Oryctolagus cuniculus: one gene and its partners. The protein of the gene in region 2 purifies or fractionates together with the protein of the main gene of each other region. This does not show direct contact. Links are inferred from orthologs where the notes say so. Each region holds a gene or a part of one and is shown on either strand. Other genes may lie near its edges.

Evidence for each region.
Region 1: the proteins of POLR2J (region 2) and GPN3 purify together in Homo sapiens (affinity purification with mass spectrometry; 4 studies listed by BioGRID and IntAct, with this or other methods). This does not show direct contact. The link is inferred for Oryctolagus cuniculus from reciprocal best matches to the Homo sapiens genes POLR2J and GPN3.
Region 3: the proteins of POLR2J (region 2) and RPRD1B purify together in Homo sapiens (affinity purification with mass spectrometry; 3 studies listed by BioGRID and IntAct, counting the BioPlex papers as one, with this or other methods). This does not show direct contact. The link is inferred for Oryctolagus cuniculus from reciprocal best matches to the Homo sapiens genes POLR2J and RPRD1B.
Region 4: the proteins of POLR2J (region 2) and RPRD1A purify together in Homo sapiens (affinity purification with mass spectrometry; 3 studies listed by BioGRID and IntAct, with this or other methods). This does not show direct contact. The link is inferred for Oryctolagus cuniculus from reciprocal best matches to the Homo sapiens genes POLR2J and RPRD1A.
Region 5: the proteins of POLR2J (region 2) and UXT purify together in Homo sapiens (affinity purification with mass spectrometry; 3 studies listed by BioGRID and IntAct, with this or other methods). This does not show direct contact. The link is inferred for Oryctolagus cuniculus from reciprocal best matches to the Homo sapiens genes POLR2J and UXT.
Region 6: the proteins of POLR2J (region 2) and DNAAF10 purify together in Homo sapiens (affinity purification with mass spectrometry; 3 studies listed by BioGRID and IntAct, with this or other methods). This does not show direct contact. The link is inferred for Oryctolagus cuniculus from reciprocal best matches to the Homo sapiens genes POLR2J and DNAAF10.
Region 7: the proteins of POLR2J (region 2) and MED1 purify together in Homo sapiens (affinity purification with mass spectrometry; 3 studies listed by BioGRID and IntAct, with this or other methods). This does not show direct contact. The link is inferred for Oryctolagus cuniculus from reciprocal best matches to the Homo sapiens genes POLR2J and MED1.

The regions. Positions count from the first base shown.
Region 1 is NC_091452.1:8,131,416-8,135,585, reverse strand, and holds the start of GPN3 (GPN-loop GTPase 3), read left to right. Parts: upstream 1-1,370; 5' UTR 1,371-1,449; coding exon 1,450-1,617; intron 1,618-4,170. Other genes in the region: protein FAM216A, read right to left, coding at 797-879. UniProt on the Homo sapiens protein: Small GTPase required for proper localization of RNA polymerase II (RNAPII). May act at an RNAP assembly step prior to nuclear import.
Region 2 is NC_091450.1:44,084,269-44,088,450, reverse strand, and holds the start of POLR2J (DNA-directed RNA polymerase II subunit RPB11-a), read left to right. Parts: upstream 1-1,382; 5' UTR 1,383-1,485; coding exon 1,486-1,538; intron 1,539-4,182. UniProt on the Homo sapiens protein: Core component of RNA polymerase II (Pol II), a DNA-dependent RNA polymerase which synthesizes mRNA precursors and many functional non-coding RNAs using the four ribonucleoside triphosphates as substrates.
Region 3 is NC_091442.1:20,660,731-20,664,724, reverse strand, and holds the start of RPRD1B (regulation of nuclear pre-mRNA domain-containing protein 1B), read left to right. Parts: upstream 1-1,194; coding exon 1,195-1,345; intron 1,346-3,994. UniProt on the Homo sapiens protein: Interacts with phosphorylated C-terminal heptapeptide repeat domain (CTD) of the largest RNA polymerase II subunit POLR2A, and participates in dephosphorylation of the CTD by RPAP2. Transcriptional regulator which enhances expression of CCND1.
Region 4 is NC_091441.1:41,651,602-41,655,101, forward strand, and holds part of RPRD1A (regulation of nuclear pre-mRNA domain-containing protein 1A), read left to right. Parts: intron 1-1,693; coding exon 1,694-1,800; intron 1,801-1,885; coding exon 1,886-1,983; intron 1,984-3,500. UniProt on the Homo sapiens protein: Interacts with phosphorylated C-terminal heptapeptide repeat domain (CTD) of the largest RNA polymerase II subunit POLR2A, and participates in dephosphorylation of the CTD by RPAP2.
Region 5 is NC_091453.1:33,164,717-33,168,755, reverse strand, and holds the start of UXT (protein UXT), read left to right. Parts: upstream 1-1,239; 5' UTR 1,240-1,267; exon of another isoform or gene 1,268-1,444; 5' UTR 1,445-1,453; coding exon 1,454-1,551; intron 1,552-2,473; coding exon 2,474-2,555; intron 2,556-2,728; coding exon 2,729-2,796; intron 2,797-3,068; coding exon 3,069-3,176; intron 3,177-4,039. UniProt on the Homo sapiens protein: Involved in gene transcription regulation. Acts in concert with the corepressor URI1 to regulate androgen receptor AR-mediated transcription. Together with URI1, associates with chromatin to the NKX3-1 promoter region.
Region 6 is NC_091433.1:134,456,054-134,460,231, forward strand, and holds the start of DNAAF10 (dynein axonemal assembly factor 10), read left to right. Parts: upstream 1-1,378; 5' UTR 1,379-1,671; coding exon 1,672-1,854; intron 1,855-2,417; exon of another isoform or gene 2,418-2,431; intron 2,432-3,608; exon of another isoform or gene 3,609-3,684; intron 3,685-4,178. Other genes in the region: RNA-binding protein PNO1, read right to left, coding at 616-765, 990-1,196. UniProt on the Homo sapiens protein: Key assembly factor specifically required for the stability of axonemal dynein heavy chains in cytoplasm.
Region 7 is NC_091448.1:22,931,233-22,934,732, forward strand, and holds part of MED1 (mediator of RNA polymerase II transcription subunit 1), read left to right. Parts: intron 1-753; coding exon 754-872; intron 873-1,928; coding exon 1,929-2,130; intron 2,131-3,500. UniProt on the Homo sapiens protein: Component of the Mediator complex, a coactivator involved in the regulated transcription of nearly all RNA polymerase II-dependent genes.

The DNA of each region.
Region 1 (4,170 bases), on a different chromosome or scaffold from region 2:
TAAAAAAGAGAAATACATGATAATTGACAAACTTCTTAAGCACTAAGAACATACTTCAAACGGTAACTATTGCATATGCGTTTTATTTTTCATGTATGTCTTGCAGATCACCTGCAATTCTGCTTAAATCCTGATGGCTGCGAGTTTTCTCGCAGTGTGTTATCTGAGCTTTTCACCATACTAGAAAGGATGTATTCCAGTCTGTCTGTATGTATTTATTTATTCTAGGCCAGATTTGGTCTTACCTTTATAGCTTCCCAATCTAATGCCTACAGCGAGCTCAATAAAACTGGTTCGGGCTCCTGCGTTATTAATCCATGGTATTTTCTTACTCTATTTTAAATAAAATAACTGGGGTTTTGAAGGCAGCCCTTTGAACAGTGATTAAGGGATGCGGGAACGGATACCTTGGCCTGTAATGTTGTAATTTGGTACAGTTTTTTTCCTTTTTTTCAAATTAAGACCGAATGCCCTCCATCCCGCCTGCTACCGCGTGTTCCCAGATCTGATCCCTGCCAAGGGCCGTGGCCCCCGCCGTTAACAGCCCCTCAGCCAACCTCAGACACAGGGCCCCGCGCGGCCCGGGGGCGCCGCCCGCCCTCCGCCTCTGGGCGACCCCCGGGGGCCGACGCCAAAGCGTCCCCGGCGGGGCCCGAAAACTCCACGCAGTCCTCGCACTCGGCTCCGAGCGTCCCCCCCCCCCCGGCCACGGCCGCCGCCCGCCCCCGCCCTCCCGGGCGCTCACGACCCCGGGCTGGGCGCCGTCCCCCCAGCCCCTCCGGGCCCCCGGCCTCACCCGCCGCCGCCGCCGCCGCCCTCGGTCCCGGCCACCGCGGGCGGCTCGGCCGAAGAGTCGGCCCCCGGCCCCCGGCCCGGCATCTCCCCGGCGCCCGGACGGCGAGCTGCGTGCGGGAGAAGCGGGCCCTGCCCCTGCCCCCTCTGCACGCGTGCGTCAGGCGGGAGGTGTCGGGGCGACACCTCGGGAAGCTGGGAGGGCTAGGAGACCCACGACCCCGGATCTGCGGGAGTGCGTTACTTGGTGGCGAGTCTGTGCTTTCGCATCTTTTTGTGCAAGGGACGCGTCACGGGAACGAAACGCACACGCTCCCCTGAACACGAGGTGCCTTCCACCTCAGGGTTCCAGACCCTCAGCACATTTGCAAAGCTTGGGTGGCACCGTCCGAGCCCAACGCCAATGCGCAAACCAAGAATCAGGGATGCTGAGCGTTTGCCGTTATCCTTTGTCTCCCTGGCAACCAGGCTCCGGCGGCTACCCAACCGCGGGTTTCCGCCAGCCGCTTCTGCGCACGCGCAAGACCTCCTCCTTCACTCTCTCCCTCCCTCCCTCCCACCTCTCTCCTCCCCGCCCCTTCCGTGTCTCCCGGACGCGTTTCTCACGGGACTTGGCCCGCGGAACGTTCCGTAGCCGGAGGTGTGACTTACCCGGAAATGTATAAGGAGCTTCGGTTGCGATTGGTTCGCACCTCGCGCTCCCGGAAGTGGGTGGGCGTGGCGCCAAGGCTGAAGCGGGAAGTGTGCCGTACGGCCCTGGAGAAGCCGAGGGTCGGCATGCCTCGTTACGCGCAGCTGGTCATGGGCCCCGCCGGCAGCGGGAAGGTGAGATTTGGTGGGAAAGGAGAGAAAGATCGTAACCCGTGTGAGGCGAGGGTTCGGTCCTGAGAGAAGGGCGTGTACCGAGGGCCTTGAGACTCCGCGCCGTTCGCTTCTGCTCTCGGTCTTCGGGGTCCTGTCGTCTTGCAAGGGGGTCGTGGCGGTTGTTGGTGGACGCTTAGGCCCCGGGTTGGAGTAGCCCAACCCTAGGAGATGGGTCTTCTTATTCCCGTTTAGGGAAGGTCGCGCGCGTACGAGTCGGGACCTGAACTGGAATCCGGGTTTGTTTTGTTTTTCTGACTCCAGAATCCTGTCCTTTCTCCCTCCCAGGAGACTAAAGTGGGGTCTTTGTGGGTGTTTCCCAAAGCCTGGGACGTGGACTTCTGGTATTTGAAGGGATTTTAGATGGCAGTGGGACCCCGCGTTACGGAACATCGGCTCGTATGCTCAGAACATTCCCCCTTCCCCTTCTGGATTCCACTGCGGTGAAGCTACGCTGGCTTCTAACGTAGCTCCATTTTTTAAAAAAAGGACTTATTTTATTTATTTGAAAGTCAGAGTCAGAGTTAGAGAGAAGGAGAGGCAGAGAGAGAGAGGTCTTCCATCCGCTGGTTCACTCCCCAATTGGCTGCAATGGCCAGAGCTGAGCCAATCCAAAGCCAGGAGCCAGGAGCCTCTTCCAGGTCTCCCACGTGGGTGCAGGAGCCCAAGGACTTGGGCCATCTCCCACTGCTCCCCAGGCCACAGCAGAGAGAGCTGGATTGGAAGTGGAGCAGCCGGGACTTGAACCGGCACCCATATGGGATGCCGGCCCTGCAGGCGGGGGCTTTACCCGATACACCACAGCGCCAACCCCCATGATGTTTTTTGTCAACAAATATTAAGGGCATGGTGGTAGTAGCACTCAAATACTGTAAAACCAGTGAAGATATTGAGCAAATAACGTAGTTGGGGAAACACTGGAGTTTGTGGAGGTGTCAGGAGGCGTCAGTGTTCAGCAGAAGCACCTGCTGAGCCACTGCCCCCTCCTATGCAGGAGGTTCCACACGGGACTGAGATTTGGCCGTCTCCTGCCCAGGGGCACAGCCTGGCTGGGAAGAACGGTGACTGCCAGTTAAGATACAGCTGGATGGGGAACTGGCTGTTAGCCTAGCAGTTAAGAGGTCTGTGTCCCACATCTGCACGTCTGGGTTCAGTGCCTGGTGCCAGCTCCTGGGTCCAGCACCACGGTGCCGCAAGTTGGGCTGCCACCTGTGACACCAGCATCTCACGGGCACTGGTTCAGTTCCCGGCTGCTCCACTTCTGCTCCAGCTCCCTGCGAATGCATCTGGAAAAGCACCAGGAAGTGGCCCAGTGGTTTGGCCCCTGCCACCCACGTGGGAGACCTGGATAGAATCCTGGCTTTGGTGCAGCCGTTTGAGGAATGAATCAGCAGATGGAAGATCTCTCTCTCTGTCTCTCCTCCTCTCCCTCCAACTCTGCATGTCAAATAAATAATCTTAAAAAAAAAAAAAAAAAAAAAGGGAAACTGAGTTCCTGCCAGCTGCGTGGCAGATCTGGATTAAGATCTTTCTCTCTCCCTCCCTCCCTCCTTCCCTCCGTCTTAAAATTTAAAATAAATAAAAAAGGAATGAGAAGACAATGCGGTGTATGGAGAGGGCTTCCTAGGCAGAGAAAACAGTGTGTGTGAAGGCACTAAGGGGAGAGCATGATGGGAATTATTTCTTTTGACAGAGGGTGGGAGGGATAAACAAGTAGATGCAGGATTTTTATGTGATGTAGTAAGGACTACACAAGGGATAAGGAATCTCTGAACCAGAATTTGAGGGGCCAGTGTGGTGGTGTAGCAGGTTAAGCTGCCATCTGCAATGCCAGAATCCCATATGAGCATCAGTTCAGTCCCGGCTGCTCCACTTCTGATCCAGGTCCCTGCTAATGTGCTTGGGAAAGCAGTGGAAGAGGGCCCGAGGAGCTGGGTCCCTGCCACCCACATGGGAGACCTGGGTGGAGTTCTGGTTCCTGGCCTCAGCCTGGCCCAGCCTCGACCATTGCAGTCATCTGGGGAGTAAACCAGTGAATAGAAGACCTCTCTCTCTCTCTCTCTCTCTCTCTCTCTCTCTTCCTCTCTCTCTCTCTTCCTGTCTCTGGTACTTTGCCTTCCAAATGAATAAATAAAAAAATAAAATCTTTTTTTTTTTTTTTTTAAGTTGCAAACTGCTAGCCCACCTCCAGGCTGTATATTGGCCTTGGTGTTCCCTCATCTAGAAATGCTCTTCCTCTGAGTTGGCAAAACGTTCCCGTAGGCTCAGGTATCCCCTACTAAGAGACACCGTCCCTGGCCGTCCTACCCAAGTCTTTGTTTGGACCTTGCTGGTTCTAGTGGAGACACGATGTGTTGGGTGCTGCACCGTGTAACCAGAAGCCTCCCCTTTGAGTTCCTTTTCTTCCACGTTAGAGCAGTGATGGGCCTTGGTTATCTTGAAGGGCATCCCAGTTAGAGAGGAGACACCTGAGGGCAGAGTGGGGAAGCACCTTCCCCAGAGTTCCCATGAGTCCAC
Region 2 (4,182 bases):
TCAGCCAGCCGGCTCCCTCACCCCAACACCCCCTTTCCCTGCCCCACCCCGCCCCCTGTGCTCACAGCCTTCAGCCTCCCTCCCAGAGCAGCACGGAGAACACAGTGCATCCATCCATCCATCCATTCCTCACCTGTTAGCCCATGTGCATCTCTCTTTTTTAAATAAAGATTTATTTATTTGAAAGTTGGAGTTAGAAGGAGAGACGGAGCGCATTTGCTGGTTCACGCCCCAGATGGCCGCAACAGGACGAAGCCAGGACCCAGGAGCCTCATCCGGGTCTCCCACATGGGTGCAGGGGCCCCAGCACTTGGGCCATCTACTACTGCTTTCCCAGGTGCATTAGCAGGGAGCTGGATTGGAAGTGGAGCAGCCGGGACACGAGCCGGCGACCATACGGGATGCCGGGGCCCAGGCCACTGTGTAGTTGTGCCCCTCGCCCAGCTATTCCAGGCTGTGGTCACACCATCCCCTCGTGGGGCACCCCACATGGACCTGCAGAAGAGTCTGGGGGTGTGCCGCTCCGGCGAGTGGGGTCAGCACTCCCCCAGGAGAGCAGCCGTCCATGGTGGTGGCCAGGATGGTGGGGGGGAATCCCCTGCTCTGGACCCTGGCCAGGCGTCACCTCCAGGTCTCCGTAGGGCAGCGTCCTAAAGTCTTCAGGATGAGCCGAGAGGGCGTGGCTCATTACCCACGGGCCCCGGGCAGAGCGGCAGTTCCCAGGTACTAAGTCCCCCCCTCCGCCCCCGCGCAGGGAGATGCGATTCCCGTGGGGGCTCCAGGCTGCAACCAGGGTCCCTGTGGTTGCTCTGAGCCCCCAGTCCCTGTTGGCCGAACAGCTCCGGGAGGGCCTTCGGCACCAATCAGGAGCTCAAGGCGGGGTGGTGCACCTGTATCCCTCCACCCCCCTGTCACACCTGTCGCACTTGCTCCTCCCAGCGCTCACCCAGCTGCCCCCGCCAACAAGACGCCGGTGACCAGGGCCTCGTGGCTGTTGGCCAGGTGCCTTGGAGGGGCCGTCCACGCCTATCACTCTGACCACAAGACTTTCCTCGACCCCCAGCCACGGCCTCCTACTACCCCATGGCTCTGTATCTGTGCCGGGGCCTGCTGCGGTGCATTCCAAGGCACATTTCCAAAGAAGAGATCAAGAAGCATGGACAGCGGAGACAGGCGTAGCTCCGGCTTCCCGCTTCGCCGGGACCCAGCGGGCAGCGCAACGCTCCGACTGCCTGCACCCCCAGAGCCGCGCCCCCTGGCCCAGGCGTGGAGCGCGGCGGGGGCGTGGCCTCCGGGCTGACGCACGCGCAGAGCGCATCGGGGAAAATTTTTCTCACGCCTGCGCTAGCTCCTCCCCGCCGCTAGGGGGCAGTGAGCCGGTCCTGGCGCGGTAGGCGCCGCCGGCGTGACCCGGAAGCAGTCGCGCGGTCGGGTTTGGAGGCGGTGGCGGCGGCCGTTTAGTCGCCGGCGGGCCGCGGTGCCAGGATGAACGCACCTCCGGCCTTCGAGTCGTTTCTGCTCTTCGAGGGAGAGAAGAAGTAAGTGGAGCCCGGCGGGGCGGCGGAGGGTCGGGCCGAGGCCCGCAGCTCCTGCGTGTCCTGCGGGCTCGGGGGTCGGAAGTGTTCGAGTGTCCGAGCGGCCTGGGTCCGCCCAGGGGGGCAGTGCCCTGGGCACGCCGGCACTTGCGGGGACTTGCAAAGTGTCCTGCTGCAGAGTGCTGTGGTTCCGCGGGGCCCCGGCAGGCGTCCCTGTGGCGTCCGGCCGGCCACCCGCGTCCTCCCTCCACGCGGCGGCCTGCGCGAGGGCTCCGGAGCTCGGGTCCGCCCTGTCGGGGCCCGCGGTCTGGCGGCCACACATCTGGGCCGGGCTCCCGGGTCGCCCGCCTGCCCGCCCTGTGGTCCTCGGACGCGTGGCTTGGCCGGGCGCCCGTGGGAGCGCGCGGACCGTGGCTTTGGGGTTGCGCGTGGGAAGGAGTGTTTGTGGCTTGGCCAAACCGAGGGGCGCAGGCGTTGCGGGTCTCGCTCGTGGGGAAGTCGCTTGGGGAGGGTTTCGCGCGCGTCTAGGAAGCTGTGGCGTGGATTGCGTGCGTTCCGTGGTCAGCCGCGGGTGGAGCTTGAACGAGGAGGAGGGTGTTCGGGGGCTGCGCCGAGGGCGCAGGTGCGCGGTTGGGGCCTGCGGCTTCGTGATGAGAGGTGGTAGCCGCTGAGTGTGCCCTGTTTGTCCCATCAGCTGCCCCTGGCTTGGCTCCGGGAACGCCTGGTCATCCTAAGAGGCGGTGGTGTGGGCTGGGTCTGGCCGAGGCGCACTGTGCGCACCTGGAAAAATGGGCTGCTTGCACGCGCGCTGTGGTTAAGCACAGGGAGAGGTTAAGTGGGTTCTCGCGGGGGCAATGCCTTCCGAGTCTGAGCAGCCTAGGGTGCGGGGGCTGGGGTGCGACCCTTGTCGGCCGCTCGAGCCTCCCTGGGCACAGACTAGCAACCAGGGGAGCAGGCGTGGTGGTCCCGGGCGCCCCGGGCGCCGTGCAGCCCCCAGGGCGGGCCTGTGGCGCGGGGGGAGTGCCTGCTCCCGCCCTGGCTGCTCCACCTCCCAGGAAGCCGCAGGTGATGGCCCAGGGAGACCTGGCTCTCTCGTGGGCTCCTAGCTTCAGCGTCTCCCTAGCCCCAGCTGTGGCGGGCATCTGTGGAGTGAACCAGCGGAGAGAAGACCTGTGTGCGTCCCTCTCTGTGCCTCTCTTTCTTTCTCCTTTTTTTTTTTCTTTAAGTTTATCTGAGAGGCAGAGTTAGGTCTTATCTAGGTGGCCGCAACAGCTGGAGCTGAGCCGATCTGAAGCCAGGAGCCAGGAGCTCCTTCCAGGTCTCCCATGGGGGTGCAGGAGCCCAAGCATTGGGGCCGTCCTCCGCTGCTTTCCCAGGCGCATTAGCAGGGAGTTGGATTGGAAGTGGAGCAGCTGGGACTCGAACTGGCGCCCATGTGGGATGCGGGCACTGCAGGTGGCTTTACCTGTGCCACAGCAACGTGTTTATGAAGCACCCATTACCATCACAGGTGCTCACGCTGTGGCTTCTGGTATGAACGTGTTTTTAGTTTACACAGCGCCTTTTTTTTTTTTTTTTTTGACAGGCAGAGTGGACAGTGAGAGAGACAGAGAGAAAGGTCTTCCTTTGCCGTTGGTTCACCCTCCAATGGCTGCCGCGGCCGGCGCGCTGCGGCCGGCGCACCGCGCTGATCCGATGGCAGGAGCCAGGTGCTTTTCCTGGTCTCACATGGGGTGCAGGGCCCAAGCACTTGGGCCATCCTCCACTGCACTCCCTGGCCACAGCAGAGAGCTGGCCTGGAAGAGGGGCAACCGGGACAGAATCCGGCGCCCCAACCGGGACTAGAACCCGGTGTGCCGGCGCTGCTAGGCGGAGGATTAGCCTAGTGAGCCGCGGCGCCGGCCTACACAGCGCCTTTTGTATTTCCTTTCCCATGGACTTTTTAATTTGAAAGACCGAGAGGGAGGGAGGGAGGGAGAGAGGTCTTCCATCTGCTGGGTCACTCCCCAAATGGCCCCAATGGCCCGGGCTGGGCTGATCTGAAGCCAGGAGCCTCACGGGTGCAGGAGCGCTAGCACTTGGGCCATCTTCCACTGCTTTCCCATGCCCCAGCTGAGAGCTGGATGGAAGTGGAGCAGCCGGGACTTGAACCCACTGCACCACAGCACCAGCTCCCATGGACTCTTCCGCTGCTTTAAAATTTTTATTTTTTTAAAGATTTATTTATTTACTTGAGAGAGGAGAGGCAGAGAGAGATCTTCCATCTGCTGGTTCACTCCCCAGTTGGCTGTAATGGCCAGAATCGCACCAGTCCGAAGCCAGGAGCTTCCTCCGGGTCTCCCATGTGGGTGCAGGGGCCCAAGCACTTGGGCCACCTTCTACTGCTTTCCCAGGCCATAGCAGAGAGCTGGATTGGAAGTGGAGCAGCCGGGACTCGAACCATATGGGATGCTGACACTACAGGTGCTGGCCCCTTAACATTTTTAATTGACACATAATACTTGCACATTTTTAAAAACGTTTATTTGAAAGTCAGGGTCACACAGAGAGGGAGGGAGGGAGAGGGGTCTTCCATCCTATGGTTTATGCCCCAGATGGTTGCAATGGCCAGAGCTGCGCCGATCTGAAGCCAGGAGCCAGGAGCTTC
Region 3 (3,994 bases), on a different chromosome or scaffold from region 2:
GGGCTCACTATGGCAGCCACGAGGATGGTGACTAGCGTGGAGGAGGGGCAAGTGCATCTAAGCAAAGAACTAAACAGGAGCAAAAGCCGGCGTCAGCTAGGAGCGTGTCTCCTAACCGGGGTCTGCCCTCCACTGGGACCAACATTCTCGAAAAGCTAATCCCTCCCACCACCTTCGTGGTAGCCACACAGACAAAACTTCTCTGCTGTCTGGTCCACTGGGAATGTAAGATTTCCTAAACAAGTGTAAGGGTCAGAGTTCCTGAATGAAGGCTCAATTAAGAGCCAAGAGCACAAACGTGTTTCATGCGGCGGCGCTGTCACACTCAACGTCAGAAATGGACGCTAAAACCTGGTCCTAAGGCTGAGTGGGCGCTCAACAGGTGAGAAACCGATCGAGACCTAAAGCGTGGAGACGTGAAAAGGGAACGTGGAAGGCTTAGAAGAACCAAAAAGAGCAAGGCACGTACGGAGGAAAAGTGCGGCCCGGGGCCTGCCAGGTGAGAGAGGAACCACCCCTCCCAACCCTGACCACGGTATTGCAGCCTTAGTGTCCTCGCTGGAAGCCTCTCAAAAGGCTCTCTACCTCTGAGCTCCCTCTCGTTCCCGCCACTCTTCCCTTACCTCGTCTTCCAGCCTTTCCCTGACTCTCCCGCCTCCTCCGCCCCGCCGGAAGTGACGCGCTAACTAGCGCGCCGTACCGCGCCAGAAAGGTTCTGCGGAGAGGGAGAAAAGGTTCCGGTGAGACTCACTGCGCAGGCGTGTGGGCTCTGGCGGTCAAAGCGCCTTCCGGGGGCCGAGGAACTGCGCTGCCTGTCTTGGCCCGTCTGCTTTGAAGTTCTCTGTGCGAAGTTCCGAGAGGCAGCGATCTCCTAAGGAACGTTTTTCTGCAGCTCCGACGCCGGTCGGTGCCCCAGCCTCTCCAGCCCTTGCCCTTTGACCCCGCTCGCGCGGCGGGGTGAGAGGTCGGGTGGCCATCTTGTGGCGGCGGCGCGGGCGGCTGTTACTGCGGAGACCCATCCCACCCCCGCCCCCACCCCCACCCCCACTCCCGCTCCCGCCTCGGCACTCCGGGCCGGGTGTCAGCCGGTAAAGCGGCCCGCAGTCTGGCAGCTGAGGCCCGCGCCGCGTGCCGTCGCTCTTCTCGCCGCACTGGGCGGCCCAGGCCGCTCGCTGCCGGGCCTCCGCCGCCACCATGTCCTCCTTCTCCGAGTCGGCGCTGGAGAAGAAGCTCTCGGAGCTGAGCAACTCTCAGCAGAGCGTGCAGACCTTGTCCCTGTGGCTCATCCACCACCGCAAGCACGCGGGACCCATCGTCTCCGTGTGGCACCGCGAGCTCCGCAAAGGTAGGCGCCCCCTTCCCCGCCCCCTCGGCCCTCGCGAGGGTCGTCCTGTCTCTCCATCCACCTGCCCCCGCTCCGGCCCCTTTAGCTTCCTCATCGGCCCTTGCTTTTCCAGGCCTGGGCCTCTCTCTGATCGCCCTTCTGAGACCAGGGACAGTATTGTCCCGGTTTCTGGAAGAATGCAGCAGGGCCTGGGAAGGTTTAAGGTTCCTAGCTGAGGTTTCGTGGAGCAGAGCTTAGGTGCAAAGATTTGCAGTTTTCCTCCTGACACTTAATGCCCGTCGGTATCTCGGCTGCAACGCTCGGCGGAGGATGAAGGGAACTGGCTCTGGTCTGTTGGCGGCCAGGCCCGGCCTGTGCTGGGCATCGGGACTAGAAGCTGGAGAGCTGTGCAGTCAGGCTGCCTAGATCCAACCCTGCCTGATGCCGGGTGAGTTTCCTTGTTTCCCATGAGGGAGACAAGGGCAGCTGCCACTTCACAAAGCCTTTGCTCCATGCCAGGCACTGAACTGAGGCCTTTGTCTGTATTCTCGGGCTGAGCGGCCTGTGAACTGGGTAGCCTCCCTCTTAGAGAAGTCGAGGGGCCGTTCCTCCTCGGCTACGCTGCCTGTGCAGCTGCCCTGGGATCCAGGGCCTGGCACGTGCACGGAGTTGAGCTGCCTCTTGCCAGGCACTGAGTTGGACATGCGACAGCATGGGACTGGCACCTGCTGACCCCAGCGGCTTCACCTGTCTGGAAGGCAGAGGTGGTGATAACAGAATTCCTCTGCCTGTCAGGAATGGGCTCCCACGTGCGGTGTCCTGGGGAGTTCTAGAACAGAAGAGAGGCCGCTCGGAGCTGTGCTGGACCCCTGTGTGCAGTAGCCGTCCGTGGCACAGGAAGTGACTGTGTTCTCTGCCACCCTCTTTTATAGATGAGGACACTGAAGTAGCTAAGTGATATTTTCAAGGTCTTTGAACGGAGACGGCTCAGACTCTTAGCAGGCTGGCAGACGCCAAACTCCTGGGCTTTTTCAGGAGACAGTCTCAGTGCTCCAGCGGCACCTCCAAATGTGGGCTGCAGTGTGTGTGGGGGGTCCTCTCAGCCTCTTGGGCAGCTGGTGCAGAGAGCCTGGAGCTCCCAGAGCCTCCTTCGTGCACCCCACTGTGCCATCCGAAGACTATTTGTAACATCTGAGATATGGAAAGAGGGGGAACCACCTCCATCCTGAGTCCTGCTGGGTAGGATCTCCTTGATATTACTTTTGTGAAAACTAATTGATTCCTCACTGTACTTATTTGACTTACTGAAAAAATGACAATTTAGAAGATGCATGGGTTTAAGAAGTTATGAAACTCCTTTATCTCTCGTCACACAGGCTAGAGCTCTGTGTTGTAGATAGGCTGGCATTATTATCCCCATTTTATAGGGTAGAAGGTTAAGATACTGGGAGAGTCAGTGCCTTGTTCAGAGGCGGCGTATACCTGGACGTGAGCTCAGGATGGTCTGATGCCAAAACTTGTACTTTTCAAGTCCCCAGTGCCTGGGTGCCCTTACTAAGGAGGCAGTCATCTGGTTCTTCCATTTAGTAGAATCAGTCATCGCCTCCACCCCATCACTTGGTTGTGTCTTTTCCGTCAGATTGTGTTTGGGGCAGAAATTAAACTTTCTTGTTTCTCTGTAATGCTGCATCATTTAGCAAGGTGCCTGCCTGTCACACAGTTAAAGAACAGCTTAAGTGTTAAATTGTGGTCCCTGATACCATTTTGAGTAAAGGATCCAAACAGCACTGACCAATACAATTTTCTGTGACTGTAGCAGTGTTTTATATCTGCCCTGTCTAGCAAGGTACCTGGTTGTCACATGGCTGTTGAACATTAAAATGTGTGACTAGGGAGTCAATGTGTGGTGTGGTGGGTTAAGCTGTCACTTGCGACACCAGCATCCCATATTGGAGTGCAAGTTTGAATCCCAGCTACTCTGCTTCTGATCCAGCTTCCTGCTAATGTGCCTGTCAAGGCAGTGAGTGATGGCCCAAGTACTTGCGCCCCTACAACTCACATAGGAGACCTGGGTGGAGTTCCTGGCTTCAGGCTGGCCCAGCCCTGGCTGTTGTCATTTGGGGGATGAACCAGTGAATGGAAGAGTGTGTGTATGTGTGTGTCTGTCACTATGCCATTCTAATAAATAAATAAATAAATAAATTTTTAGAAAGTGTGACTAAGGAACTAAGCTTTAAATAAACCGAGTTGAGAACTCAGCCCCAAGTTTTGGTAGCCAAAATTCAGGTGTTCAGTAGCCATATGTGGTTGTTACTGACACTGTATGGAGACCGTGCAGAGCTAGCAGACATCAGGATGCAGCTGTCTGATGGCCAGGCTTCCTTCATGAGCTGAAAATGCAACCCACACTAAAGTAGGAAAAGAATTTGTGCCCACATGTTCAAATCCACTGGTCCCTTGGGTTCTAACCCACCTTGCGTCCTTAAGTGTGAATGTTGCTGTCTGTGGTCAAGTCATTTTCCCCACAACGATGTTTGACGTTCACATACTGTCTCTTGAATTGTCTTGAAAATCTTTACAAGATTTACAAACAATTACTTTTTTTGGATTAAAATACTACTTCTATTTTTTGATACATTTGATCTTCCTTTTATTTCTAAACTTTGTCTT
Region 4 (3,500 bases), on a different chromosome or scaffold from region 2:
GCTGTAAAGAAACATAAAGCATGGAAGGACCTGTAAGGTATGAAGGAGCTAAGTTACATGATAAAGATATAGAGAAAGATGAAGAATATGTAAAGAGAGGTAAAGAAAGACTTTTGTAGGAGGTATCATTTGAACAGAAACTCAAGTGAGAGATGAAATGAACCATTTGTAAGAGGAGAAGATGCTAGGCAAGAGGGAATACTTAACAGATGCATTGCAAAAGCTGTGCTGGGCATGTTTGCAAATCAACCAGAAGATCTGTTTGGGAGAAGATAGTAGGAAATGTGGACTGAGGTTGCCAGGAAGCAGAGCATATCCTTAAGGCCCAGGGTAGGGAGTTTGATTTCAATATTGTTATGATTGGTAGCTCTTGGAAAGATTGAGAACAGTATGATCGGATTTACATTAATAGGATGCTTTCTAGAGACCCAAGTGAGAGAGCAGAGGCTGAGAGATCAGTGACAAGACTTAACAAAAATCTAGGCAAGAGCTAATAACATCTTAGTCTATAGTGTTAATGATAAAGAAGAGATGGTTTCCAGTTTTTATATATCCAGTGTTGGGATCTCAGTGTAAGTATCAGTTCTTCAAGGATTCTTCCTGATCTCTCTTAAAATGGACTGGGCCTCTCTCTCTCTCCTTTGTACCATGTTCTCTCTTGTGGTACTTAAAACAGTTCTCTGTGTCAAAGACTTTTCCTTGATCAATACATACTTGCTGAGTCACTTGAAAAGTCACCAACTGGGGATCTCTCTTAGCCTGCTTAGCCCGCATTAGGTTAGGAACATCTTCTTTGTAACCGCTAATGACCAGTACTAAAACTTTAGCATTGCCGGCGCCGCGGCTCACTAGGCTAATCCTCCGCCTTGCGGCGCCGGCACACCGGGTTCTAGTCCCGGTCGGGGCGCCGGATTCTGTCCCGGTTGCCCCTCTTCCAGGCCAGCTCTCTGCTGTGGCCCGGGAGTGAAGTGGAGGATGGCCCAAGTCCTTGGGCCCTGCACCCCATGGGAGACCAGGATAAGTACCTGGCTCCTGCCATCGGATGAGCGCGGTGTGCCGGCCACAGCGTGCCTGCCGCGGTGGGCATTGGAGGGTGAACCAACAGCAAAGGAAGACCTTTCTCTCTGTCTCTCTCTCTCACTGTCCACTCTGCCTGTCAAAAAAATAAATAAATAGGCCGGCGCCGCGGCTCACTAGGCTAATCCTCCGCCTAGCGGCGCCGGCACACCGGGTTCTAGTCCCGGTCGGGGCGCCGGATTCTGTCCCGGTTGCCCCTCTTCCAGGCCAGCCCTCTGCTGTGGCCCGGGAGTGCAGTGGAGGATGGCCCAGGTGCTTGGGCCCTGCACCCCATGGGAGACCAGGAAAAGCACCTGGCTCCTGGCTCCTGGCTCCTGCCATCGGATCAGCGCGGTGCGCCGGCCGCAGTGCGCCGGCCGCGGCGGCCATTGGAGGGTGAACCAATGGCAAAGGAAAACCTTTCTCTCTCTCTCTCTTTCTCACTGTCCACTCTGCCTGTCAAAAAAATAAATAAATAAATAAATAATAAATAAATAAAAATAAAAAAATAAAAAAAACAAAACCTTTAGCATTGTATCTGCAATTTTTCTTTCATAAATGGTTAAAAGCTTTTTAAAGGAGTCTGGGAGTATATCTTGATCACTGAGGTTAATATATGTATTTTTTTTTCCTTTAGTGAAACTGATGAAAGTTGTAAGAAGCACCTCGGAAGAGTGTTATCTATTTGGGAAGAAAGGTCTGTTTATGAAAACGATGTATTAGAACAACTTAAACAAGCTCTGTGTGAGTATATAATTTTGATCACTTATCATGAGCTCTACTTAGTACATGTATTCTTCATTAAAACTTAAATGTTCTTCCAATTCAGATGGTGATAAGAAGCCTAGAAAGCGAACTTATGAACAGATAAAGGTGGATGAAAATGAAAACTGTTCATCTCTGGGGTCACCAAGTGAACCACCCCAGGTACAAGTTTTTATCTTTAAGAATTGCCTTACTTTTACTTTTTTAAAAAGATTTTATTTATTTATTTATTTATTTGAGAGGTAGAGTTATAGACAGTCAGAGGGAGAAACAAGAGAGAAAGGTCTTCCATCCACTGGTTCACTCCCCAAATGGCTGCAACAGCCGGCACTGAGCCGATTTGAAGCCAGGAGCCAGGAGCTTCTTCTATGTCTCCAATGTGGGTGCAGCGGCCCAAACACTTGGGCCATCTGCTGCTTTCCCAGGCTATAGCAGAGAGCTGTATTGGAAGAGGAGCAACTGGGACTTGAACTGGCGCCCATATGGGATGTGGGTGCTGCAGGTGGAGGATTAACCTTATACTGTGCCGCTGTGCCAGCCCCTACTTTTACTTTGAATGACTTCCAAGCTTTATTAATTTCAGTGTTTAAGTTCTATAAATTGATTTTTAAATTACAATTCTGGATGCCAGAAAGAAGCTACATAAATATTTGTTACTATGTGATGTTTGCTATGTTATAGGAGTTCACTTAAAAAAAATTCATTTTTAGAGATAAACAATGTTCCTTCAAATATTTTTGCTGTTAAACACATAAAAATGAATGTAAGTGACAACTGTGTTTTTATACAGTTCTGTGTAACTCTGAAAAGCCAGGCAATTCTATCTGTGGAAAAATAAGATAAATCGCAATCATTATCTTAACTCCCTTTATCTGCTCAGATTTATATGTTTTTTTTTTTTTTTTTTTAAGATTTATTTTATTTATTTGAAAGACAGTTACAGAGAGAGGTAGAGGCAGATAGAGAGGTCTTCCATCTGCTGGTTCACTCCCCAGATGGCCGCAACGGCCAGAGCTGCACCAATCCAAAGCTGGGAGCCAGGAGCTTCTTCTGAGTCTCCCACGTGGGTGCAGGGGCCTAAGGACTTGGACCATCTTCTGCTATCCCAAGCCATAGCAGAGAGCTGGATAGGAAGAGGAGTAGCTGAGACTAGAACTGGCGCCCATATGGTATGCTGGCGCTTCAGGCCAGGGCTTTACCCACTGTGCCACAGTGCCGGCCCCTATATGGTGTTTCTTAACCATTCAGTGAACTCTAAAAGATACTCCAAACAATTAAAAAAAAAAGATTTATTTATTTGAAAGGCAGGGTGACACAGAGAGAGAGAAGGGGAGAAAGCAACATATTCAGTGCTTCACTCCTCAAATAACTGCAACAGCTAGAGCTGAGCTAGGCCGAAGCCAGGAGCCAGGAATCTCCATCCTGGTCTATCATGTTGGCAGGGATCCAAGTTCCTGAGCCATCTTCCACTGCCTTCTCAGGCTCATTAGCAGAAAGCTGGATTGGAAGTAGAGCACTGCTCTGATAGGGTATTCTGGTGTTGGAGGCAGCTGCTTAACCCACTGTGTCACAATACTACCCCTCATTTTGAACCTTCAGTTAAGTAGGCATTGAGACTTTAAGTTCCTCCTTCTGTGTTTCAGCCATATAGGAGAGAGCTGGATTGGAAGTAGAGCAGC
Region 5 (4,039 bases), on a different chromosome or scaffold from region 2:
AAATGCTGGCAAAAGCAAGGACTAGGCCAGGCTGAAATAAGGAGTCCAGAACTTCATCTGAGTCTCTTACATATTTTACGGGACCCAACTATGTCAGTCATCATCTGCTGCCTCCCAGGGTATGCATTATCAGAAACCTGGATCCAAAGTGAAGGAGCTGGGACTCGAACCAGGCACTCCACCAACATGTGATGCTAGTGTTCCAAGCAGGGACTTAACCACGGTTTAATTCTATTTTCCCACAAACTTTTAAAAGAACTCTCATGTCAAAACAAAACAAAACAAAACAAAAAAAAAAAAAAACAAAAAAACTCAATGTTCCTTTTACAGTCACTTTTTCCTGAAGGCAAAGAAAAGCTTAACAAACAGGTTTGAGAATTTGGAAAGGACAACCGAACTTTTACACGCAAATTACTTGGGAAGACTTCACAAGTAAGGGTAAGGACTCTAGGCTCTAGATATGGGAATAGCATTTGGGGGTGCGAGCATCTGAATTCTCCTCTGGGCTCAGGCCAGGACTTGCTGGGTTAGATGCTAAAGATGCAAAATACAGGCATTCAATCACTTGAGTGCATACAAAGAAAAAGCTTGCCCATTTAATTAAACACACGGGATTATTCCTAAGTACAAAATAGCAGATCTTTTGCAAACGACTCAGGGACCCTCCATTTGACTAATAAAATGAGATGCTTACACATAGTATTGCCAATCTCTGCTTAGCTCCAGTCATAGATTGTGGGCCACAGAGCTGCAATCCTCAAAGAGGAATTCTAGAAAAATGCGTCTCCATTAAAAAGTTTTTAAATGCTCATACTCGTTCCCATCACCGGGAGTGAAACGCGAACCTCTCGGGTGAAGTCAAGATGTGACTTGCCTGTCCGCCTCCCAGGCTCTGCCTTTTAAATACTAAACGCTTCATTCCCTAGCTCTACCTCCACCTGTGCGTTCTACCTCCCCTGGAAACCGCCAAATCCACAAAAGCCGCGAACAGTCCCCACAGGCTCCACGCGCTGCTTGTGCAGTTTCCAATAGGCTAGTTCATTGCCAAAGGATCTCTGCTCCCACGCCCTACAGTCCTACCTGATCTCCTTTGATTCAGTAAAGCCCTGACCTTCTCTTTTTCCCCTTGGCGGGTCTTACTTCCTTTCAGGACCGCCCCTCCCCACCTGCTTATTTGGTTGGTCAGCGCGCTTGTTATACGTCATTCACCCGCGCCACCCGGAAGCCGCGGTTATACCAACCCGTTCTTATCGCCGGCGGCCCTCAGGTAAGGGCCGCATTTTGGTATCCCTGGGTGGCCGAGTCCTAGAGTTGGGAAGGGCAGAAGGCGGAACCCCCAGCAGGACCCGAACGTGCCCATTTCCCAACGTTGAGAGGGTGGAGATGACCTGCATGAGTCCATACTGAAGTGGTCAACGTGGTCTTCCCTCTGCTCATTCCCCAGGAGCCCATAATGGAGACGCCCCCTAAAGGGCGGGTGGTTGAGGCCACGGGAGAGAAAGTTCTGCGCTATGAGGCCTTCATCAGTGACGTGCTGCAGCGGGACTTGCGGTGAGTGACAGCGAGAGGGGCGGGGCCTTCAGAATAGTCCACGTGGTGGGTGGGGCGTTTAAAGTCGGGGGCCAAGCCTTCAGATTGGTGGGCGAGACGTTCGGAGCCCGTCACCACGCGCCATTCGAAGGGGAAAGGAGGAGCGACTTCCGGGGTGCGATTTGGCTAGGACGTGGCGTTCATAGGGCGTGTCTGCGCATGCGCGGTCCCGATGTTGCTTAATGGATTAAGGGCCAAATTCCAGATCCACAGTTCTGGGGTTTGAGTTCTGGCTCGGCTACCTGCCATCCGTGTAAACATCGCACCTTGCCCCTCCTTTCTGTGCCTTATAAATTTCTCAAATCAGTAAAATGAGGAAGTTTATTACGGAACCTTATTCATGCAGTGGTTGAGTTTAAAAAAGTGTGATGCCTGAAATATGTTAAAGGTTCAAGGAATGTGAAAAGCTATTATTACTAATCTGAGCAGGAAGTAAGGCTTAGACTATGAGCATCCCGAAAGGGGTGGAGGATTTTTCTAGGGTGAAGATGAGACATAGAGATTGACATTTGGGAGTAAAGTGTAATAATAGTAAGAGCTAACACGTATATAAAGCTTATCATTTGGAAGACATCATTCTAAGTGTCTTATAGTAAACATTCATTTAATCCCAGTGCCTCCGTGAGGTTAGAATGCCACTCCTATTTTGTAGATGAGAAAACTGCATATAGAACAGTTTACTTAGTGAAGTCACACCACTAGCAAAGGGTAGAACCCAGATTCAAACCCAGGCAGTCTGACCCAGTGTCCAGAATTTTAACTTCTACACTAAAAGGCCTACTTAGAGCATGGTAACTGGAGCACCTCAAAGAATCATGGTATAAGGTTTCCCAAGGAGGACAAAGCTGCCTGTTGGTCACCATTTGTACTTTTGTCCCATCAGAAAGGTGCTGGACCATCGAGACAAGGTATATGAGCAGCTGGCCAAATACCTTCAGCTAAGAAATGTCATTGAACGACTCCAGGTAGATATATCATGGTTGGGTACTGTTTTTTTTTTTTTTTTTCATTTGGTTTTGGTATGTGTGTGATGGGGGGAGCATGGGAAGGAACTGAGAAGAGAGACCCTAGACCAAAACCTGTCACCTGACCTACAAATTGACCACTGACCCCTACCTCTTTTTCCCTGGCCCCACAGGAAGCTAAGCAATCGGAGTTATATATGCAGGTGGATTTGGGCTGTAACTTCTTCGTTGACACAGTGGTGTGAGTGTCTACCCGCCCTTCTGAGCCCTTCCTTCATGCAAGATATTTTTTTTTTACCATCTTCTATGTACCAAACACTGTGCTAGATTTTACATACCTTAGGACATAACCTAAGTACTGGGAATATGACAAGAAATAAAATAGAATAAAGTCCCTGTCTTCCCAGAGTCTCAATTTGGGGAAGGGGAGGGAGTAAAAAATTAACTAAACTGTATGGTATGATAAACAGTAATAAGGATGTCTTCCACTTCCTCTAACCTCTCTCTCCTCAGCTCAGATACTTCACGCATCTATGTGGCCCTGGGATATGGTTTTTTCCTGGAATTAACACTGGCAGAAGCTCTCAAGTTCATTGATCGTAAGAGCTCACTCCTCACACAGTAAGTGCATTCTTGAAGGTAGTATCTAAAACACCCCACCATTTTTTTAAAGAATTTATTTATTTTATTTGAGAAGTAGAGTTACAGACAGTGAGAGGGAGAGATAGGGAGAAAGGTCTTCCTTCTGTTGGTTCACTCCCCAGATGGCTGCAACTGCTGGAGCTGCGCAGATCCAAAGCCAGAAACCAGGTGCTTCTTCCAGGTCTCCCACGTGGGTGCAGGGGCCCAAGCACTTGGGCCATCTTCTATTGCTTTCCCAGGCTATAGCAGAGAGCTGGATTGGAAGTGGAGCAACCGGGACTAGAACTGGTGCCTATATAAGATGCCGGCGCCACAGGTGGAGGATTGACCTGTGCCATTGCATTGGCCCCAACACCCCACCATTTTCAACACTCTTCTCCCTTAAGTTAGAGACCTACCTCCGTTCCTCCTCTGGGCTGTAGCTGAGGAAAGGGGATGCAAAGTTCAGCCCCAGGTATAGCACATAATAAACACTCCAGTAAGGGAGCTTTGTATCATTCATTCACACAAACATATTGGGCATCTTCTGTTTACCACACTCTGTGCTTGACAGTGGAGATGCCCCAGGGAACAAGACAGAAGAGTTTCTTGAGAGCTTACATTCTAGAGGGACTGTATTATTAGACCTAAATACAACTATGACCGGATCCATGAGGCCTCAGCCTGTAAATCAGTAACAGTAAAACAGGTTACCTCTAATTTAACATGTTCATTTTCCTGCTCATTGCTGTGCTCTTGCCACAGTGACTTGCACATGCTGCTTTAAATGTCCCAAGAATGCTCTCACCTCAGGGCAGATGCCATGGCTGTTTTCTCTGCTTGCAGTGCTCTTTCCCCAGTAC
Region 6 (4,178 bases), on a different chromosome or scaffold from region 2:
AAAATGTTTTAAAAGTTTGTAAAAACAAAAAACAGCATTGTGGTCTGGAAAATGAGGCCTGAAGCCACAGAAGCCTGAATCAGGTGGCAATGGAAGCAGAGCGGGGCTCTACTGCCACGTCCCACGCTATTTTAAATTTTACCAATAGAACAGTGCTTCTTTTGTGTCATTAGCATGGTCAGGAACAGAGAGGAACTATACTCGTTCTGATGATGGTATACAAAGCTTTACAAAGGGAAAGTAGTACTTTTGAACATCGATTCTTGTAAAATAGAAAAAGAAGCCCAAAATCAATTAGCTTCAAATGCCTAAATCCTGGACTAACAACATGGAGTCAAAACAAAACAAAACAAAAACTTATTTGCCCTAAAAGAATCTCATTAAATATACAGTGTTTATAGGGCAGCAGGCGCTGAAGTTCACTACTCACACACTTCTATGACAATCTCTTCACCAAGCCTTCTCGCCGTCCAACACAAACACAAAATTCTACTGCTATCTGTGTGGAATGCAGCTTCCGAGGGCACCTGGGAAGATCTTAAGGCAAGTCTCTGCATGCCTTTTCACCGTGTAGCAGGGAAATCCAGACTATTGGGAAAAGGTTGGCGTTCTTACCCTGATCTCCACATTCCTTGATTTCAAGTTAAAGCGAATCTGAAGGCCCAAGTGTTCTACAATAGGAGTGAATATCTTCATCCAGTTTTCCTTCAGCGGGGTGTACCTGTTGGCTGGGACTGGAATCTTCCTCGTTTCTTCTTTCCCACCCTGTAAACACACACACACAAGTGAGGAGACGGCTGGAGGGTGGGGGTGGAGTCGTAAAGTGACAGCTGATCCTCAACAACTTTCCTTGAACTTAACTTAGGAAACGTCAGAACAGTCTCACGGTAAAGACGAGTCCCTTCCCCCCGCCCCGGGGGGCTTCAACACTGCCGCCAGGCCACGGGCTTGCCCGGCCTCGGTGCCTGTCCCAGGGGCCCCGCCAGTACCAGGAGTCCGTCCCCGGACATGGGCGGGAAGACGGGCCTCTTGGCGGGCCGGGCCTCCTCGGTGTCCATGCGGCCCGCATCCCCGCCCTCCCCGGATGCGGACAGCTGCTCAGCCTGCCGTTTCTTCGCCCGCCGGCCACCCTTGCGAGTGACTTGAGTGAAGCCGTCCTCGGACCCAGAACCCTGTGTCTCCATCTCGCCTTCCATCTCCGGGAACCTCCGGGCAGGGTCGGCGCTCCCACTTCGAACACGTGCACGGCTGCATTGCGCAAGCGCACCGCGCAGGAGCCGGGCTTCGCCAATCAAGCATAGGGCTCCGCCCCTTTTCCTTAGAAGTCCCACGCTGGGGACCTGAATCATACCCGTGTGGGCGGTCTTAAGATATGCCTGATTCTTGTGGTCGCTCTCCGGCCGCTCCATTAACAGCCAAAGTGTTTCATCATCGATAATACGTATGTGTTAAATACTGCGTTTAAGGGATATAATCAGATTTTAGCTTTCTGTGAAGAAACGTCTTGTGCAATCTCAGCATCGCATCCGGCACGTCGGAGATAACTAAATCCAAGTTGCTCGAGCGTTAAGGGGCCGAGTACGGCTAGCGGGAGAGACAAACTTAATTTGTGTTTGGAGTCTGGTTTCCAGGTTGGTGTTTGCGGTTGCGGGAGGCGAAATCGGCTGTACCATGTCGGCCTTCGAGAAGCCTCAGGTCATCGCCCATATCCAGAAAAGCCTCAACTACACAGTGTTTGACTGTAAGTGGGTGCCGTGCAGCGCCAAGTTTGTGACCGTGGGCAACTTCGCACGGGGCACCGGCGTCATTCAGCTGTACGAGATCCAGCACGGGGACCTGAAGCTGCTTCGGGAGGTGGGTGCCGGGTCGAGATGACGCAGGTCCAGGTTCTGGACTGCCGTTGATGGCGAGTGCGGATCCTGGGGTCTGCAACTGTCTTGGCCAGAGTCTTCGTCCAGCGTCTCCCCAAGAGCGTAGCTCGAGCTTCGTGGGACCAGAGAAGCTGATCGCAGATTGAGGAATGCGTCTGGCGTAAAAACTTGCTTTCTAGTCTTGAATTCTCTTCGGCGGGCTAGTTCATCGCGCCCTGCCGACCCGCTTCCTCCTGCCCCCTCAGCGCAGTCCAGCGCGAGGTCTCTAGGAAGTGACCTGTCTACCTTCTGGGGCCTTTGGGGGCTGTTCCTAGTTGGTTTTGGAGTCTGTTAATAGGCCCATGTTAGAAAGTGCTTTTCATGGAAGTAGAGAAGAAGCAGGCGCCCGGATGCCTGTAAATACTTGGAGGAGACAACCTAACATTGATTCATGGGACATGCGTCAGCTGAGGGCCTGTTGTTCGCAGGCATGCGCATGGCAGGTGACCCCAGTCTCATGGAGAGATAGTTAAACAATCAAACCAACGAAGATGCCTTAATGCAAACCGAAATGAGTTCTCGTAACACAACACTGTGAGAGTATAAACAGATTTGGGATGAGCAGAAACTTCCTAGGGCAGATTAGCACTAGAAGATGTTATTTCCAAAGGAAGCCCCCCGGGGGAAGCTTAGTGATGGGAGAAAGGCTAGCTCCTTAGGAAACGAGGGATAAGCAGAAACCAGACATTGCAAGGTCCGTGGGACGTGAAAAGGAAACATCAGTGCAGGGCCTCAGAGTGTGGCAAACAGATTTACAAATTTTGTAAAGATGACTGGTGAAAAGATTGCATGACAACTAGTATTGTAACAACTTTACAGCTTTGTAAATGTCCTGGTGTGGGTTGCCTGAGAACGATGGTCATTTAGAATCAGGAGTTCAGGTCTGGGATGGGCTAAACCGGCAGTGATGTTGAGAGCTCCGTGGGGAGCGTCAGCTCGCAGGAGGTTGGGGTTCTGCTGATAGGAAGCCTGAGGACAGTTGGGTAAGCAAGCCTACCTGGGCGGGTATGTAAGGGCCGCCCCCACTGCAGGTTCCCCTGGATGCCTGTTTTCTTGTTCACTTGGTAGCCAAGCCTTCTATGGAGAGTTTCTAAACATAGTTTACTCTTTTCCACCTTTCCTTATGCTGTTCATCACTTAGGTCATGGTCACCTTTTGCTAGTGTAACATCCAGGTCAGGTTATCTGATGTATGAAATTCTTGATCCTCACACAAAGCAACTTTCCCTTACATTGCATTCCTATAGGACTTACTATCTATACCAGAAATATACAGTTGGTTCCATTTTTCTCTCACTAGATTGTAAGCTCCTGGAGAGTAAGGACAGTGCCTTTCTTGAGTGTGGTTTGTAAGGAGCAGCCACTCAATAAATTACTTATTAAAAGGAGGAATGGATGTATGTTTGTAAATAGGATATAACTTGAGAAATTTACATAATGGTTTACTGATCATTAATTAAGTTGGTATAGCATTGAAATAGCAAAGAAACTTAGAGGTGAAGTATTAGTAGCAAATGCCAATTGAACCTCAACCAGAGAGCATTTATATATGACTTGTACACATTTAAGGAATGCACTTATTCCATTGAGTGAAATGGTACTCTTTGTCTCTTGAGATACTTGTGGAAGTCTAGGAAAAAAAAATTTTTAGCAAAGGTGGTATGTGTTCATGATAGAACGTTTAGAAAATATGAATAGGAGCTTTGCGCAGTGGCAGTATTGTAGCCAATAAGGTTTATCCGAGGCACAATTATTGCTAATTGAAAATATGAATAGGAAAAAGAAGAAAATAGAAAATACCATCATAGTCTAATTGCCAGGAATCACTACTTTTTATATTTTCATCAGGATCCTCTGCATCTTCTTTTATTCTACCATACATTATCTATCAAGAACTTATTTTTTCAAGGTAGTGTGCTAAAAAATGGACCAGTGATACCTGAAGGATAGTTCCTTCTCCTAAATTCTAAAAATTTGATAAAACAGTTACAAAACCACTTCCAAGAACTCATTTGGCTGTGGTTATGCAATGGAAAAAATATAGATTAAATACAGATTCCATGATTCTCACCCTTTCTTGTGCATCAGGATCACCTGAGTGTGTATTGTTGTTGTTAGGTGTGTGTGTTTTCAAGTATCCTGCTTTGATACAACCCTAGGAATTCTGTCTCACGGTGGTACTATGGTATGTCTACACTGGAGCATGGCCTGGACATCATGGTTTTTTAAACTTCTGCCAGATGATTCTAAAGAGTAGTACCAAGGTTGA
Region 7 (3,500 bases), on a different chromosome or scaffold from region 2:
ACAAAGAAAGGTCTTCCATCTGCTGGTTCAGTTCTCAAGTGGTCGCCTCGGCCAGAGCTGAGGTGATCCGGAGCCAGGAGCTTCTTCCGGGTCTCCCACACAGGTGAAGGGACCCAAGAACTTGGGCCAACCTCCACTGCTCTCCCAGGCCACAAGCAGAGAGCTGGATTAGAAGAGGAGCAGCTAGGACTCCAACCGGCACCCCATATGGGATGCTGGTGCCGCAGGTAGATCTTGGCTTACTATGCCACAGCACCAACCCCTCTTTAAGTTTTATAGGCCTTAGGGCCAGTGCTGTGGCAGTGGGTTAAAGCCCTGGCCTAAAGTGCCGGCATCCCATATGGGTGCCAGTTCTAGTCCTGGCTGCTGCTCTTCTGATCCAGCTCTCTGCTATGGCCTGGGATAGCAGTAGAAGATGACCCAAGTCCTTGGGCCCCTGCACCCACGTGGGAGACCCAGAAGAAGCTCCTGGCGCCTAGCTCCGGATTGGCACAGCTCTGGCCATTGTGGCCATCTAGGGAGTGAACCAGTGAATGGAAGACCTCTCTGTCTCTACCTCTCCCTGTAACTCTTTCAAATAAATAAAATAAATCTTTAAAAAAAAAAGTTTTATAGGCCTCAAAAATTACTGGTAACACTTATTAAGTACTTCTTGAATAAATGGGCCAAAGAATGTAAAAATCATGAAGAGAATACTGAGCGGTCAACATTTGTATCTTAATGAGATTATTATATTGGTTCTTGTTTTTCCAGGAATTCCATTGTTTGAAACTCAGCCAACCTATGCACCCCTGTATGAGCTGATCACTCAATTTGAGCTGTCAAAGGACCCTGATCCAGTACCTTTGAGTCACAACATGCGATTTTATGCTGTAAGTAATGCCCACTAAAGCTAGAATGTAATAGGTTTTATTTAGACCCAAGATGAGAAATTTTCTTCATAACATTATCGAGGTCAGATAACTTCCTTTTGGACTGTTGGATCATATTGTGTTTCCTCACTTACGCAAGAAATTACAGAAATCTCTGAAACCTATTGAGGAAAAAAGGCATGAGTTTTCAAGTCAGGAAGCAACAATGTTCAATTATTTGTTGAAATTTCATATGAAATTCTCTTAATGGCATTCTGAAATTGAGTAAGCTTAGAAGTATGTATTAAGTGTTCATACTATTGAATTCTTTGAAGTGCCATGAATGTATTCTGTGGAAACCTCCTTCAACTACATAAAGAGAAGAAAATGTATAAATTATGAAAGTTTCTAAAATCATGTTTGGGCTTGAATTAGAATTTTTAAAAATAATAGTTTCGCAATTCTGCATTATATGGAGTGTTTTATTAAAAAATACAGATTTTGTACTAACCATTTAGAAATGTTTTTAGTAAAGATTTCTGATGTAATTTTTTTATATTTTCATTCATAGAGAAGGCAGAGAGACAGACACATATTTCCCATCTGCTAGTTCATTCCCCAGCTCTCTGCCATAGTTGGAAAGAAGCCAGGAACCCAGAATTCAGTCTGGGTGTCCTGCATTGGTGGCAAGGACTCAACCACTTGACCCATTACTGCTGCTGCCTAAGGTGCCATTAGCAGAGCTGGAGTCTGCAGTGGAGCTGGGACTCAAACACGACACTTTGATACGGGATGCAGGCACCCATGCACCATCTTTACTGCTATACCAAATGCTTGCTGCCACGTTAGCTAATGAACCTAGTAGCATAGAGCTTTTACTAAATAGGGATCTTTCCAGAATAACGAGTAATTGGTTAGCATTTATAATACTAACTACTTGAAGAATTTACTGTGGGGTTTTATTGCTCCCCCAGATTTTGCTGTACTTTTTTTGAGGAGCAGGTTTCTTCCGGGACAGCTTGTGGTTGGAGCACAAAGGGAAAGTAAATAGTACTCACTGATGTTCTTTTTGCTCAGGCTCTTCCAGGTCAGCAGCACTGCTATTTCCTCAACAAGGATGCCCCTCTTCCCGATGGTCGAAGTCTGCAGGGAACTCTTGTTAGCAAAATCACCTTTCAGCATCCTGGTCGAGTTCCTCTTATCCTCAATATCATCAGACACCAAGTTGCCTATAATACCCTAATTGGAAGCTGTGTCAAAAGAACTATTCTGAAAGAAGGTACTGCCTTTCCTTTTGATATATTTAGTGAAAGATGGAAACTGACTACTCCAGTGGTTTTTCAAAATTTTTTTTTTGAGTTTTTTTTTTTTTTTTTTTTTGACAGGCAGAGTGGACAGTGAGAGAGAGAGACAGAGAGAAAGGTCTTCCTTTTGCCGTTGGTTCACCCTGCAATGGCCGCCGCGGCCGGCACACCGCGCTGATCCGATGGCAGGAGCCAGGTACTTATCCTGGTCTCCCATGGGGTGCAGGGCCCAAGGACTTGGGCCATCCTCCACTGCACTCCCTGGCCACAGCAGAGAGCTGGCCTGGAAGAGGGGCAACCGGGACAGAATCCGGCACCCCGACCGGGACTAGAACCCGGTGTGCCGGCACTGCAAGGTGGAGGATTAGCCTAGTGAGCCATGGCGCCGGCCCTTTTTTTGAGATTTTTATTATTTGAGAGGCAGAGTAACAGAGACAGAAAGGTATCTTCTGTTTGCTGGTTTGCTCACCAAATTGCCCTAACAGCCACGGCTAGGCCACACCCAAACCAAGAGTATAGAACTTCATCCAGGTCTTCCACTTGGATAGTAGAAGGCAAAGCACTTGGACCATTTTCCACTGCTTTTTTAGTTGAATTAGCAGGCAGATGGATCAAAAGTGGAGTAGCCAGGAATTGAACCCAGACTCTGAAATGAGATGTTGGTATCTCAAGCTGCTGCTGAATATACTGTGCCATAGTACCAGCCCCTCGAGTGGGTTTTGAATTTGGTGGCCCATGAAAATCACCTATGGAGTTTTTAAAACTCCAGGTGCATGAGTTTCACCCCAAGACGAACTGAATTAAGACTCTAGTGGAAAGATTAGCGAAGGCAATGTAACCACAAATTATTCTGATGAAATCATTGTGTAGATTGGCATTTGGGAGCCTCTTTTTTTTTCCTCCTTATTCTGGCATATTCTATGTGTTTTTTTGTTTGTTTTTGTAAATCTGAACTCAGTCCCAACACGGTTTGTCTCTCTCTTTTTAAGATTTATTTTATTTATTTGAAAGGCAGAGTTACAGAGAAAGGTAGAGACAGAGAGAAAAGTCTTCCATCCACCGGTTCACTCTCCAAATGGCTGCAATGGCCAGAGCTGGGATGATCCAAAGCCAGGAGCCAGGAGCTTCTGTGTTCTGCACGTGAGTGCAGGATCACAAGCACTTGGGCCATCCTCTGCTGCTTTCCCGGCCATAGCAGAGAGGTGGCTTGGAAATGGAGCAGCTGGAACTTGAACCGGTGTCCATTTGGGATGGGCTTTAACCCACTGAGCCACGGCACTGGCCCTCTGTATTTTAAGGTCAATCATGATAATCAGTTTCCTGGTTTATGAACACATTTTCTTTT